Oryctolagus cuniculus: one gene and its partner. The protein of the gene in region 1 binds, or shares a complex with, the protein of each later gene. Links are inferred from orthologs where the notes say so. Each region holds a gene or a part of one and is shown on either strand. Other genes may lie near its edges.

Evidence for each region. Proteins that work in one complex are often made in the same cells at the same time.
Region 2: the proteins of ZC3H13 (region 1) and WTAP are in contact, whole or in part, in a cryo-EM structure (PDB 7VF2), measured with the Homo sapiens proteins. The link is inferred for Oryctolagus cuniculus from reciprocal best matches to the Homo sapiens genes ZC3H13 and WTAP. Residues at the interface, in NP_001317494.1 of Homo sapiens: Arg1512, Pro1514, Gly1515, Ala1516, Ala1517, Leu1518, Lys1520, Phe1521; in NP_001257460.1 of Homo sapiens: Asp202, Glu203, Asp206, Phe207, Gln210.

Annotation. Positions count from the first base shown.
Region 1 is NC_091440.1:65,026,026-65,033,336, forward strand, and holds part of ZC3H13 (zinc finger CCCH domain-containing protein 13), read right to left. Parts: intron 5,679-7,311; coding exon 5,515-5,678; intron 1-5,514. UniProt on the Homo sapiens protein: Associated component of the WMM complex, a complex that mediates N6-methyladenosine (m6A) methylation of RNAs, a modification that plays a role in the efficiency of mRNA splicing and RNA processing.
Region 2 is NC_091436.1:8,285,375-8,292,685, forward strand, and holds the end of WTAP (pre-mRNA-splicing regulator WTAP), read right to left. Parts: intron 3,558-7,311; coding exon 3,403-3,557; intron 1,606-3,402; coding exon 1,022-1,605; 3' UTR 390-1,021; downstream 1-389. UniProt on the Homo sapiens protein: Associated component of the WMM complex, a complex that mediates N6-methyladenosine (m6A) methylation of RNAs, a modification that plays a role in the efficiency of mRNA splicing and RNA processing.

The sequences.
Region 1 (7,311 bases):
CTAAGTTAAATGTCTAGTAAGGAAATTGTTGGGTCATATAGTAAGTATGCATCTTTACTTTAAGAAATAACCAGTTTTCACAGTGGCTCTACTATTTTGCATTCTTACTAGCAATAAATATAGGAGTTTTCATTGGTGTGTATCTTCATAAACATTTGATACTGTTAAGTTTTTTTGTCTGTTGCTTATATTTTAACTATTGAGGTAAATGACAAAAGGCATCTCATTGCAGCTTTAATTTGTATTATGTTAAACATTTTGTTTCATGTACTTATTAGCTGTATCCCTTGGGTGAAATGTCTGTTTAAGTCTTAAAAACTGGGCTGCTGGTTTTCTTACTGCTAAAATTTGAGAGTATTTTTAAATATTTTAGCTACAAGTCCTTTTTCAAAAATGTGATCTGTATGTAGGTATTATGATATAGCAGGTTAAGGCACTGCCTGGAACGCCTGCATCCCACATGGAGGGCCTGAGATAGAATCCCGCCTGTTCCTGATTCAGCTTCCTGGTAATGTGCCTGGAAGACAGCGCAGAAAGCCCAAGTATTTGAGTTTCTGCACCCATGTGGGAGACCTGAATGGAGTTCCCTGTCTCCTGGCTTTGGCTTGGCCCAGTCCTGGATGCAACGGGCGTTTGGGGAGTGAACCAGTAGAAAAACCATATCTGTCTTGCTCTCTGCCTCTCCCTCTCTGTCACTCTGCCTTACAAATGAATCAGTAAATTTAAAAAAAAATGTGAATTTCAAATATTTCTACTATGCCTGTATTTTCATTCCCTTACCAGTATACTTTAGAGAATATGTTTTAAATTTTGACAAAGAACAATTATCTCAAAATGAAAACTTAATTAAAAGAAACAATTTGTATAGCTCCCCACACCAACCCCTTGAGTTGACAGATCGTATCTGTGTGGGTCTACTTCTGGACCCTTTTCTGTTCCACTCATCTGAATTTCTACTCCTTTACTAACACTGTACTATCTTACATACTATAGTTTTGCAGTAAGTCTTGATACTGAGTAGTACAAATCTTCCAACTTTATTCTTCTTTTGTAAAAATTATTTTGGCTTTGCTAGTTCCTTTAGACCTCACACAAATTTTAGATTCAGCTTGTCTATAGAAAAAAAATCCTCTTTAGTTTTTTACTAAAAATTGTGTTAACTCTGCAGATTTATGTGAGGGAGAAGCATAATTTTAACTATATTGAGTCTCCAACTCCATGAATATGATGTCTCAATCTTCAGTTATTTAGGTCCTTGGTTTTTTTCATCACTGTTTTGAGTATCCAACAACTAGATCTTGCAAGATTCTTTTTCTTGTTTCTTTAATACCTAAGTACTTCATTTGTGGGGAAGCTGGAGTATTGCTTCCTAACATTTTAGTATCCAGATGCTCACCGCTGGTATACAAACATACAACTACTTTTTTTATAGGCTGACCTTGTATTTTGTAACTTTGCTAAACTCTTACTAGATCTAGGAATTTTTTGGCAAATTCCTTAAAACCTTTTATGCAGGCAATCATGTCACCTGAGAAGACACACAGTTTTATTTCTTCCATTCCAATCTATATATATGCAATTCCTTTCTCTTGCCTAATCAAACTGGCTAGAAGTTCCAGTATGAGGCTGAATAGGGGCAGTGAGACTGGACATCCTTTCTTGTTCCCAACTTCAGGGACAAAACATTCAAACTTTCATTATTACCTAAGATGTTAGCTGAGGGTCTTATGTACATGTCCTTTGTAAAGACCTCTTCTAATTCTAGCTTGCTAAGAGTTATTACAAAGGAACGTTGAATTTTCTCAAATGCTTTTTCCATCAATTGATATGATCAATATATTTGTCTTTCTTACTTCTGTTAATATGGTTGATTATAATTCTAGCATACTGAGGCATTCCTTTAATCCTAGGCTAAAAATGTATCACTGAACTTGATTTATTAACATTTTTGAGCATTTTTATGCCTAGTTTCATGAGAGATACCAGTTTAAATCTAGTCAGGTGTTTGCAATTCTGGCCTCATAAAATAAGTTGGGAAATGATTCTGCCACTTTAATTTTCTGGAAGAAATAGCAGAGAATTGGTGTTATTTTTTCTTTAAATGTTTTTTTGGTAGATCTTGGCAGTGCAATCACCTGGGACTACAGTTTTATATTTAAAAAATAGAGATGACTCTTCAGGTTGCTCATTACTTACTCATTAAGTTTTGGTAGTCTGTGGTTTTAGAAGAATTTATCTATTTCTTCTAACTTGCCAGCCAAATTCATGTTTATTAAGTTATTCATATCCCCTTATTTTCTTTTTTATTACTTGTGAGATCTGTAATGATATTCCCACAATTTGTGGTTTTTTTTTTTTTTTTTTTTTGGTTAGTCTGATTAGGGAGTTCTCAATTTTATTTATCTCTTCAAGGAACCAGCAGTTGGTGACACTACTTTTCTCTAATGTTTCCCTATTTTTAATTTCATTGATTTCTGCTCTTTATAATTGCCTTCTTTTAGTTTGCACATTTAAAGCTTTTAAGTGTTCTCTTAATATCCTTCACCTATTTCTTGTGATATGGACTATAGTTTCTATATTTAAAAATCATTCTCCTAAACAGACACAATCTCAATGGGTAGGTTGAATGATTTTCCATTTTTTGTCACTTGCTAAGAGTCTAGGGGGCTGGTGCTGTGGTGCAGATTAATCCTCCATCTATGCACCAGCATCCCATCTGGCACAGATTTGAGCCCTGGCTGCTCCTCTTCCAATCCAGCTCTCGGCTATGGCCTGGGAAACCAGTAGAGGAGGGCCCAAGTGCTTAGGCCCCAGCACCTGCGTGGGAGACCTGGAGGAAGCTCCTGGCTCCTGGCATCCAATCGGTCAAGCTCCAGCAGTGAACCAGTGGATGGAAGACCTTTCTCTTTGTCTCTCTCTCACTGTCTGTAACTACCTCTCAAATAAATAATAAAATAAAAACCTCTTAAAAAAAAATCTACCAGTTAGCCCAATGCATGACCCCTTTTTGGACTTTTCTTTTATAACCATATATAACTTAAATGCTTCTATTTGGTTTTCCTAGGATATTTCATGAGGCTGTCTAGCATCTGAAATTACTCTTCTTTAATTGTATCCTTTTTTTTAATGCGTAGCCTCTAAGAGCATTTCTCAGAGGATTTCCTATGTAGTGTGTGTGTGTCCTCTCTTTATTTATTTATTTATTTATTTATTTATTTATTTATTTTTGACAGAGTTATAGACAGTGAGAGACAGACAGAGAGAAAGGTCTTCCTTCTGTTGGTTCATTCCCCTAAAGGCCGCTACGGCCAGTGCTATACCTATCCGAAGCTAAGAGCTGGGTGCTTTCTCCTGGTCTCTCATGTGGGTGCAGGGCCCAAGCACTTGGGCCATCCTCCACTGCCCTCCCGGGCCACAGCAAAGAGCTGGACTGAAAGAGGAGCAACCAGGACTAGTACCCGGCGCCCCAACCGGGACTAGAACCCGGGGTGCCTGCACCGCAGGCAGAGGATTAACCAAGTGAGCCACAGCGCCAGCCTAATTGTGTCTTTTTCCTCTTTTGTGCTGATGTTTTTAACAGAATAATCAGAAAGCTTATGGTACTTTCTTCAGATGGATTGTTTAAGACATTACAATGTGCTATTAAAACTTACTGAATGTTAATGGTCTATGACTTACACTGGAGGATTATAAGGTTCTGAACAATGGTGCTCAATGAGAAATTTTCAAGGTGCTTTTGTTTGCCACAATTTTAAAGGGGCACCATGGTACAATAGAGGAAGAATCAGGGTATTTTATAATCTATTACTGTTAAAAAGGAGGTTAGAATTTTTATGAGATTAGAAATTATACAGTCCTTTTCAACTGAGATTCCTTATATGAACCAAACAGAAAATGATTTGAATGAATATTTTTCAATTTAATAGTCAGGATGGTGATATCTGGAACGATTCTAGATACATAAAAGAGAAGGTGATTCATTATATACATGTTTAGGATACTGGGAGCTTAGTTCTCTCAGAGAAATGTCTAGGTGAGAAAGGATGTAAGGAGAGATGAGTATGTAGGCAACAGAATAAGGAGAAATACAAATGAAATGAGAGAAGCAAAGGAGGATGACCTTAGCAATTTTGTCATCAGTAATTTTGAGCAAGGTAGATTTGGTGGTTATAAACCTAAGACTTGATATTTTTATAAGTCTCCCATGCCTCATAGCCATTTCCATTTTAATCTTTGGAGATGAATTCTTCTTGTTTGTATAAATTTAATCCTCTGCATCTGAGTAGTTTTCATAAATGAAGTATCAGTTACTTCAGCATTGTTATATATCCAAAGACAATTCTGTTTTCTTAATGGCCTCTAGTAAAAAGCTAGTAGGTTAATGTTTTTCTAACCTTTTAGGATCAGTTTTCTTTTTTCTTTTTTTTTTTTTTTATAATGATTAATTTATTTTTTGAGAGGCAGAGTGACACAGAGAGAAGGACAGAGAGAAAGAGATCTTCCACCTGCTGGTTCATTCTCCAGTTCATGTCCTGGTTGCTCTACTTTCGATTCAGTTCCCTGCTAAAATGCCTGGGAAAAGCAGCAGATGATAGCCTAAGTGTTTGGGCCCCTGCCACGCCAGAAGGAGACCTAGATGAAGCTCCCAACTCCTGGCTTCAGTCTGGCCCAGCGCTGGCTATTGTGGCTATCTGTGGAGTAAACCAGCAGATAGACGATCTCCCTCTCTGTAACTCTGCCTTTAAAAATAAATAAACAAATCCCTCAAAAAACTCCACTATCGCCTGGCGCCGTGGCTCACTAGGCTAATCCTCCGCCTGCGGCGCCGGCACACCGGGTTCTAGTCCTGGTCGGGGCGCTGGATTCTGTCCCAGTTGCCCCTCTTCCAGGCCAGCTCTCTGCTGTGGCCAAGGAGTGCAGTGGAGGATGGCCCAAGTGCGTGGGCCCTGCACCCCATGGGAGACCAGGATAAGTACCTGGCTCCTGCCATCGGATCAGCGTGGTGCGCCGGCCGCGGCAGCCATTGGAGGGTGAACCAACGGCAAAGGAAGACCTTTCTCTCTGTCTCTCTCTCTCAATGTCCACTCTGCCTGTCAAAAAAAAAAAAAAAAAAAAAAAAAAAAAAAAAAAAAAAAAAAAAAAAACACTCCACTACCCTCACAACTCCAGAAAATGTTTCTTTTTATATTCAACTTAAATAAATTTCTAATAACGTTTACTTATCTACAGAAGCTTTTCACAAATTAATTTCATAGAAATAGAATATTTTACACATTTTTAAGTGCATGACTTTTTCTAACAAGTAACTGTTATCTAAAACAATTATTCATTAATATGATTGAAATAAGATAAAAATATCACAAACTTTAACAGAACTCTTTTTTTCACATGTGTATAAGACTAGTAAACCAAACTCATAAAAACAGGTAAGGCTGTGATTCTTTAAAGCAATCAAATGGAAAATATGCCATTCACATTATTCACTTCACATGTTTTCCAAGGAAATCACTGTACCTTCTCATTTTTAACCAGCTGCTTGCGGATGGCAGAGTCTCGCCTGAAGCACAGAGCTTTACAGCACGGTCCGAGATTACTAAGGAGACTTGCTCTTTCTTCTTTTCGTAACAATGCAGCCATGTTGAGAGCCCCCAATTCATGTTCAAAGAGATTATCTGCATCTTTCAACAAACATAAGCACACATTAAGTTTTCCTAAAATAGAAGATGTTACCAATGATTCAAGTGAATACTGCATAAAGTCTACACTTTATCAAAGTTAGCAACAATGGTGAAAATTATTTCATATTAAAGGCAATATTTCCTCTGTGAAGGACCTTCACCATTCAGTTATATTATTAGTCTTAAACAAAATTAAGAATTGTGATAGTCATTTTAAATTTGTTTAAGATATAAGAAAAGTAGACTTGGGAAACAGGATTTAGGCATTGATTATGCACTATGACCAAGAAGTAAAGTTCAGGTTGAGAATCACTGAAGTCAGGGGCAGCGTGGCGTACCAGGTCAAGTCACTGCTTACATCGCCAGCATCAGATAGGTGTGCCAGTTTCAAGTCCTGCCTGCTCCACTTCCAATCTAGCTCCCTGCTAATGCACCTGGGAAAACAGCAGAAGATGGCCCAAGTGCTTGGGCCACTACTACCCATGTGGGAGACTTGAATGTAATTTCAGGCTCTTGGCTTTGACCTGGTCCAGCCTTAGCCATTGTGGCCGTTTGAGGAGTGAGCCAGCAGATGGAAGATCCCACTCATTTACCCCTGCTCCTCTCTCCATCTCTCTCTATAACTGCCTTCCAAATTAAAAAAAATCTTAAAAAAAAAAAACCTATCCAAAAAAATAAAAAGAGCATCAAATACTATTTTATTACATATATAATTACAGAAGAAATTTGCCTTGAACATAAGCTCTTCCATGAAAATTGCACTTTAGGACTAACTTTCTTTTTACGGAATCTTTTTTTCTTCTTCTGGTTTTAAAAGGATACAAAATACACACTTGCAAACCTCCTTAGAGAGTACAACATGGCTGAACTTCAAGTCTCTTCATGGTTTTAAATTGATCAGTACCAAAATTACTCCAAAGACAGACTAAATACATACTCAAGAACAAGTAAAATGAAGGAATAAAAAAACTAGAAAAGTTTAGCTCACTAGGACTTAACTATATTGTAATTAGAAAACCTAGAAAAAAATTTCAGTTTTAGTACACAGTTAAGTGTATTGTTTTAAGCCTTAGTTCTTGTTGTTGTGAATTATCCTTAAGAGGCGAGGTATACTCTCTTCACTGATGGAGGACTGGACTAAACCCAATGGAATAGAAAATTCATTATCAATTATTTCATAAATATTTAGTGAATGCCTACTATGTGTCAGGCACTGTTCTAGGCAAGGGCATAATTAGCAATAATAGATAATTAGACACTAGATACAGCAGTAAACAAAACCAAGCCCCATTCCATATGAAACATATTTAACATCATATTATCAATTCTCTACTTCAACTGATTCACTCCCGAGGACCAAGAACTTAATTCAGGTCTCACATGAGTAGGTGGTACAACCACTTGAGCTGTTAACTGTTGCCTCCCAAGTGCACATTGACATGAAGCTGGGGTCAGGAGCAGAACTGGGACTTGAACCCAGGTGCTCCAATATTGGCTGTGGGTCTCCCAAGTGGTCCCTTAACTGCTATGCAAATGCTCGGCTCAAAAAACTCAATTCTTTTAACGAAATTTTTTTATTGTCAGGGACATGACATAAAATTGTTAAATAATGTTGCTTTCACCTTTACTTTAC
Region 2 (7,311 bases), on another chromosome or scaffold:
GGAAGACCTCTCTCTCTCTCTCTCTGCCTCTCCTTCTCTCTCTGTGTAACTTTCAAATAAATATTTTTTAAAAATTATCAGACTGTATAGAAAACCTAATTGCTTGAAATCAGATCACAACTTAAAATATTTAGATATTTATTGTAGTCTTTGATGTATTTTCCAGCATTTTATAACAGTTACCTTTGTTACTCAGGGGAAAAAATAATTCCTACACTGTGACTTCACTGTACAAGGCAAAAATTAAAAATTATGTCCACAATCAAAATCAATGCATACACTTTAAGTTTCACCTTTGTTATATATTCAAGAATAATGAGCAGAAATTCAGCCAATTCAAGGAAAATAAATGACTACCAAACACATCCAAAATACAACAAGACAACCAATAAAGGAGTTACAATAAAAATCTTTATTTAGGTTTGGTCAGTACAGGTAAGATATACTGGAGTCACAGAGCAATATGCATTAACAGGATACAACAGTTCATAAAAACTGAGTAACTATGCACACACGTTTCTTACACATTCAGTCACCTAAAGAGAAAATGCACAGATGTGTGGTGGGAAAACTGCATCTAACACTGAAACTACTACAGGACTCCATCAGCAAGTCCAACTCTCAGTGATAAAACTAGTGTACTGGGCAACGCGGCAGTCCTAGGTCCACATCTACTCTAACACGTCTGCATGGTGCAACAGCAGGAGGAAGGATGCCTTACAGCTTGGGTTCTAGAGACAGATTTACAGACATCATCGCGGTATACTTTAAGGAAAGATTTCCATTTACAACTTCACATTAACTCATATAAAAATAACTTGACCCTACACAAAAATGTCCTTTTAGCAACATTCAAAGTAATTAACTGCTGTAATTCCAAGGTGGCAGAGGTATTGAAGCAAAAAAACAAAACAACACACACCCACAAAAAGGCAAACTGTGACAAAAGTATGCATTACTTTTCTGGACAGTATCCTCTCCCAAATTAAATGACACTGTATAAAAATTTGCTGGAAAAATATTACAAAACTGAACCCTGTACACTTACACTTGAGTCCAAGCCATTCTGGACGTGGCGGGAACCCACAGTTCGGTTACCTTTCCCACTCACTGCTTTCTCCTCTTGAGGGTCATGATTGGAGTCTGTGTCATTTGAGTGGTGTGTGAGAGAGTTTTCACTGCCCGTGGGAGAGTCTACACTTTCGTACCCCGCACTGAGTTGGTTTGCGTAACTACTACCTCCTCTGCCGGGTCTCTCCTCCGAGCTGCTGGAGGCCTTATTAGCACTCCCTGGAGAAGACGCAAAGTCATCTTCAGTCGCGTCCCCCTCCCTGTGAAATGCAGACCCAGACGTCCTCGGCCGGGAGGAGCTGCCGTTGCTTGGTCCGTTGGCCAGCCGACTGCAGTCTTTACTCGCGGCCTCGCCTTGCTCTGCAGGTTCCGAGGACGCAGTCCTGCTGGTACCCGGCGCGGAGGCCTGAGGCTGCTGCTGCTGGTACTGCGCCAGCTGCTGCCGCGTCTCCTTCAGCTGCTGCTGCAGCACGAGGATGGTGCTCTGCATGCCCTCCACCTCCTCGTCCAGCTGGATGATGAAGTCGTTCAGTTCTGTGCAGAGAGAGTCAGACCCACTTCAGTCTCAGAACTCACTGAACAGCATTTCCTAAGCGCTGCCACAGGGCCACTGCCGAGTGCTTATTAACCACTGATACACTTTAAAATCACAATACTATTTTTTAAAAATGTACTAGAATTTAAAAATAGCCATTCAAGAATTAGAATTCATTCAGAGTAGACTGCGTAAAGGAATATACTGTTAATATGTCTCTCTCTACATACACATATCAAAGCAAGTTAAGTTGATTCAAACCATCTCACCATAAAGAACTGTGACAACCCCCAAAATCTGCCCACGATTACCTGCAGGCCCCCAGAGCCAGTTCCTATCTCCTCACTCTCCTAGCCAGGGTCTTCACTCCACGCAGGTAGGGCCCTTAGGACAGTGTGGTTTTCTACCTTAACACTCCAAGTAAGTTTATGCCCTAACTGAACACTGTTCTCTGCTACAGAGGAAAGCAAAAATCTCAGAACATAACTCCTGTTGACTATGAAAATGCACACGTTCCTAAGTTCTAAGAGGCCTTTGGAAAAAACTCCTTCACTGCTATACAATCTATTTACATGTTCACAGATAACAAAGGCTAAGAGCTATCACTTTTCTTCTTTTTAAGATCTATTTATTCATTGGAAGCTAAAGTCACAGAGAGGCAGAGGCAAAGGGAGATCTTTCATCTGCTGGCCCACTCCGAAGCCAGGAGCCAGGAGCCTCCTTTGAGCCCCCTACGCGGGAGCAGGGGCCCAAGGACCCGGCCATTCTCCACCGCCCTCCCAGGCCACAGCAGTGAGCTGGATCAGAAGCAGAGCAGCTGGGACTCAAACAGGTGCCCACACAAGATGCCAGCACTGCAGATGGCAGCCCCACCCACCACACCACAGCACCAGCCCCGGACTATCACTTTCAAAATGCTGTTTTAGGGGCCAGTGTGCTGGCAAAGCTGGGTAAACACCTGCCTGAGATGCTGGCATCCCATATGGGGTCAGGTTCAAAACCCAGCTGCTCCATTTCTGATCCAATTCCTTGCTAATGCTCCCAGGAAAGCAGCAGAGGATAGCCCAAGTGCTTGGGCCCCCACACTCATGTGGGAGATCTGGAGGAGGCTCTGGGCTCTTGGCTTAGGCCTGGCACAACCCCAGCCATTGTGGCCATTTGGGGAGTGAATCAGCGGATGGAAAATCTGCGTTTCTTCCTAACTCTGCCTTTCAAAAACAGAGAAAAGGTATTACCTGGCTACTGATCTCATTAGCCATCAGATGCACTAATTCTCAACTAAAACTTCCAGTGAGTTTGGATTTTGTTCTAATATTAATCTGCACAGAGGAGAAACAGCACAGATGCTGGTATACCTGCATAAAAAGGCAGAGAGACTACAAGCTTGGTTTGACTCCGCAGCAAATTTGAACATAAAATCTTTTAATTTGGAAATTGCCAAATGTCCCCATGATGTTTTAAACCTAAAGAGAAATGGCTGAAGATACTCCTCCTTTCCAAGTGCTGAATATAAATTTAAATTTGTATATTTTAGTAACAACATGCTTTTTATGTCTCACCAATTCCTATTCCCCTCAAAACAAAACTTCTTAGGAAATTTACACAACAATTATGTGAGTGGGGGGAAAATCGCTAAAATCATTAAATGTGGTCTATTTGTTGACTCAGCTAGAAATGTTTCACTCAATTTTATATAAGGGAGAGATTAACATGTACAGAACCTACGTAACAGCCATGCCTGGCGGCTTAATAAAAAGCCAGTGTGAAGTTAAGCAAACTCCAAAAAATACCCTTACCATCCTGACTGCTTTTAAGCTCCTCACTATATTTCTTCTGTAAAGCCAACTCTGCTTCAAGCTGTGCAATACGCCCCTGGGACAGCTGCCTTCCAAGCTCTTGATTCTCCTGGATAAGCATTCGACACTTCGCCATTAACTTTTTGCCTGTTTGGCTGCAAAGGAAAGAGCCATCCATCACAAAATGAAGACAAAACTATGATCTTCTTCGCTTACAATCGCAACAGTGATAGATGTACCAGGTACAGAACAGAACTACGTCACAGCTGATGCCGCCCTGCAGTTACCGTCTTCGCTGCTCGAACACATCCACCTTCTGCATTGCAGCGCTTTGCCAACCAGCAGCAAAAATAAATCCTGAATAAAACATGCCCAGACTTTTTGTTGTTTGTATTACTCAATAATCAATTCTGAAATCTATTCATTTTTCTCACATTATCATCTGAAATAGCAACAGGTCAGGCAACAAACACACACCTTGGATATACCAATATTAATTAACACTAAAGTGTTGTGATTTCTTAAACAAAAAAGTTATTGAAAAGGTACATGAGGTACTAATCACAAGTGTGTACGTCTTTAAAATACGTAATATAAGACAGTACCTAGAAATGAATAAGAATGTATTTTTTGAGAAAAACACAGTATTCTTTGTACATTTATTTCCCATACCTCTTAATTTATCTATTATATTAAGTGAGGCCTCAAGTTTTAAGACTCTTCCCACTCATCAAGCCCTCAATTATTTAACTTCTTTAGGTACTATATGCTTTTGAGCAGTCAAGCAGGACATAGTTTTTTTTTCCCCATTCCATATCAGTATGTGGTTAACATTTTATTGATACTGCAAAACATCATCTTTGTGACACTAAGGCCTGGGCTACTTATCATAAACAAGGCAAACATGAAAATATCCACCAAATTTGGAAGGCTATACTTTCAACAAACTAGTTTCCAAATGCTAGTGCAACAGACTATAGAAACCACACATGTAGCTCCAGCACGAATGTAATGAAAAGCCCAAATGACAGGTTCTTAATACAACTCTACCGTTTGTCTTCAGCCTCAGTAATAGCAGAAATCACATTTTTTACTGGGATCTAGGGGTCAGCGCAGCAGTGCCTTGGGTTAAGCCACCACCTGCAATGCCAGCATTCCCTAAGAGCATTGGTTTCAGCCTATTGCACTTCCCATCCAGCGCCCAGCTAACAGGCTTGGGGAAGCACCAGAAGGTAAACAAGAACTTAGGCCTACGCAGGAGACCCAGACTGCAGTTCTTGGTTCCTGGCTTCATCCTGGCCCAACCCGAACCAACAGATGGAAGATCTTTCTATTTCATTCTCTCTCTGTAACTCTGCCTTTCAAATAAAATAAATCTTTATAAAAAGGGTTCTACTTTGAAGTAGTAATTTTGATATTATGTCTGAGACTGGGATAGGGATACTTTTACATTCCCATCATTAGGATAAGTCCAGAATGACCTTAATACTCAAAATGTTTTATAAATTTTAGTCTGTCTGTATTGTAATGGCATTCAGGTGCCCGATTCAGGACTGCAGAATCCATCTGATCCTATCAAGCCTTAGAACTTTAAAAATTATAGTTCTCTTTCTTTGAAGCAAACTACAAGGTTCTTTTACCTATACTTGTGTGTTCTAACATAATTCAAGGAAAAAGCTTGTAATTAAGTCTCCTTACAAAAATCTGTGAAAAAGTGAACCCCAAGTTAGTGCATGATAGGGTTTTATTCCTTTCTACGGCAACCATTAGCTGCTGTTTTGTTACTGTAGCTCCAGATTCCCCATCAGCATCTTCAGATTGGCCTACAGTGAGTAAGCACTTAGGAGCCAAACAATGGGGGCTGGCATTGTGGCATGGCAAATAAAGCTGCTGCAGGCCGCCTATGACACTGGCATCCTATATGGGTGCCAATTTAAGTCCTGGCTGCTCCACTTCTGATCCAACTCCCTGCTAATGAGTCTGTGAAAGCAGCGCAGGATGGCCCAGGTACCTGCACCCAGGTGGGAGACCTGGAAGAAGCTACTGGTTTTGGCTTGGCCCAGCCCCAGCTACTGAGGCCATCTGCCATCTGGGGAGTGAACAGACACCTCCATCTCTGTTTCTCTCTTCCTCTCCCTCTCTGTCTTTCAAATAAATAAAGTAAATCTTTAAAAAAAAAAAAACCTAACAAGAAGAAGTCAAATAATGAAGAGACAGACACCTTTTGTCAAAAACAGTGGGCTTTGTTCACTGGACTACCTATGCTCCCACAACTTTGTTTTCTTGCAAGGCACACAGCATTAGTTTTTTCCAGCTACAGCAGAAAATACAAACCCTATAGACAACTATAGAACATATAAACTAGTGACCTGATTTAATCCCCTACAAAAATACCAAACACAAATGCAAAAAATCAATACCTTTTAATAAACAAATGCCATTTTAAGAAATCTTATAACTTGCTAAATAGTGATTAAAATAATCTTACTAAAACCACTGTTCTTGGGGGCCGGTGCCGTGGCACAGTAGGTTAATCCTCCGCCTGCGGTGCTGACATCCCATATGGACACTGGTTCTAGTCCCAGCTGCTCCACTTCCAATCCAGCTCCCTGCTATGGGCTGGCAAAGCAGTAGAAAATGAACCAAGTCCTTGGGCCCCTGCACCCATGTGGGAGACCAGGAAGAAGCGCCTGGCTCTTGGCTTCGGATCAGCACAGCACTGGCCGTTTCAGCCATTTGGGAAGTGAACCAACGGAAGGAAGACCTTTCTGTCTCTACCGCTCTCTGTAACTCTAACTCTCAAATAAAATAAATAAAATCTTAAAAAAAAAAAAAAAAAAAAAAAAAAAAAAAAACTAGGCCGGCGCCGCGGCTCAATAGGCTAATCCTCCGCCTAGCGGTGCCGGCACACTGGGTTCTAGTCCCGGTTGCCCCTCTTCCAGGCCAGCTCTCTGCTGTGGTCAGGGAGTGCAGTGGAGGATGGCCCAGGTGCTTGGGCCCTGCACCCCATGGGAGACCAGGAGAAGCACCTGGCTCCTGCCTTTGGATCAGCGTGGTGCGCCGGCCACGGCAGCCATTGGAGGGTGAACCAACGGCAAAGGAAGACCTTTCTCTCTGTCTCTCTCTCTCTCACTGTCCACTCTGCCTGTCAAAAAAAAAAAAAAAAAAAAAAAAAAACCTGTTAAACTGTTCTTTAAACATTCTGCAATTTTACTTTAACTATGTCATGTAAAATATGTGCCCCACACGACACCAAAAAATGATTTAACTGCCACTGTTTTTGACGTAATTTTTAAAAATTAAAAGCAAAAAATCCAAGCTGTTCTCAAAATCGAATGACTCAAAGAACAAACACAGTGGGAAATACTGCAAGAGAAGAACTTAAGAAAAGCAATGGACGTTGTATGTTGCTCTTGTTATCAAGAGGAAGAGTAGCAGGCTATTCTGGGAAAATGTGTACATAATTAACTAAATGCAAACTGAAACACACCTGTCTAACCACTGTAAAATGCATGCGTTTCACATCAGTGAAATTTTTGAACTAAGGTGAACAAGAAAATTCTGGGGATCTTTCTCCTACACAATTAAAAGTGAGAAAACGGGTAAGTGAAAACACCAGACTCATTCTACGTGAATTTTCCAGAGCGAGCACTGACTACTGTCCCAAATGAATGATATATTTCTTGGTACCTGACATACTCTGACTTATAGCGTAATTTTACAAGACAAGAATCTATTTTAAGTGATTAGGATAAATGACTCATTACTATAATGGAAACAGTATATAACCATTTAAATATAATAATCTAGACATACTAAAATATTTAAAAAAAAATGCCTGAGATAAAGTGAAAAGAAAAAAACCCTGCAGATCATCCGTATGAATGGTATGATCACATTTGCTGTAAG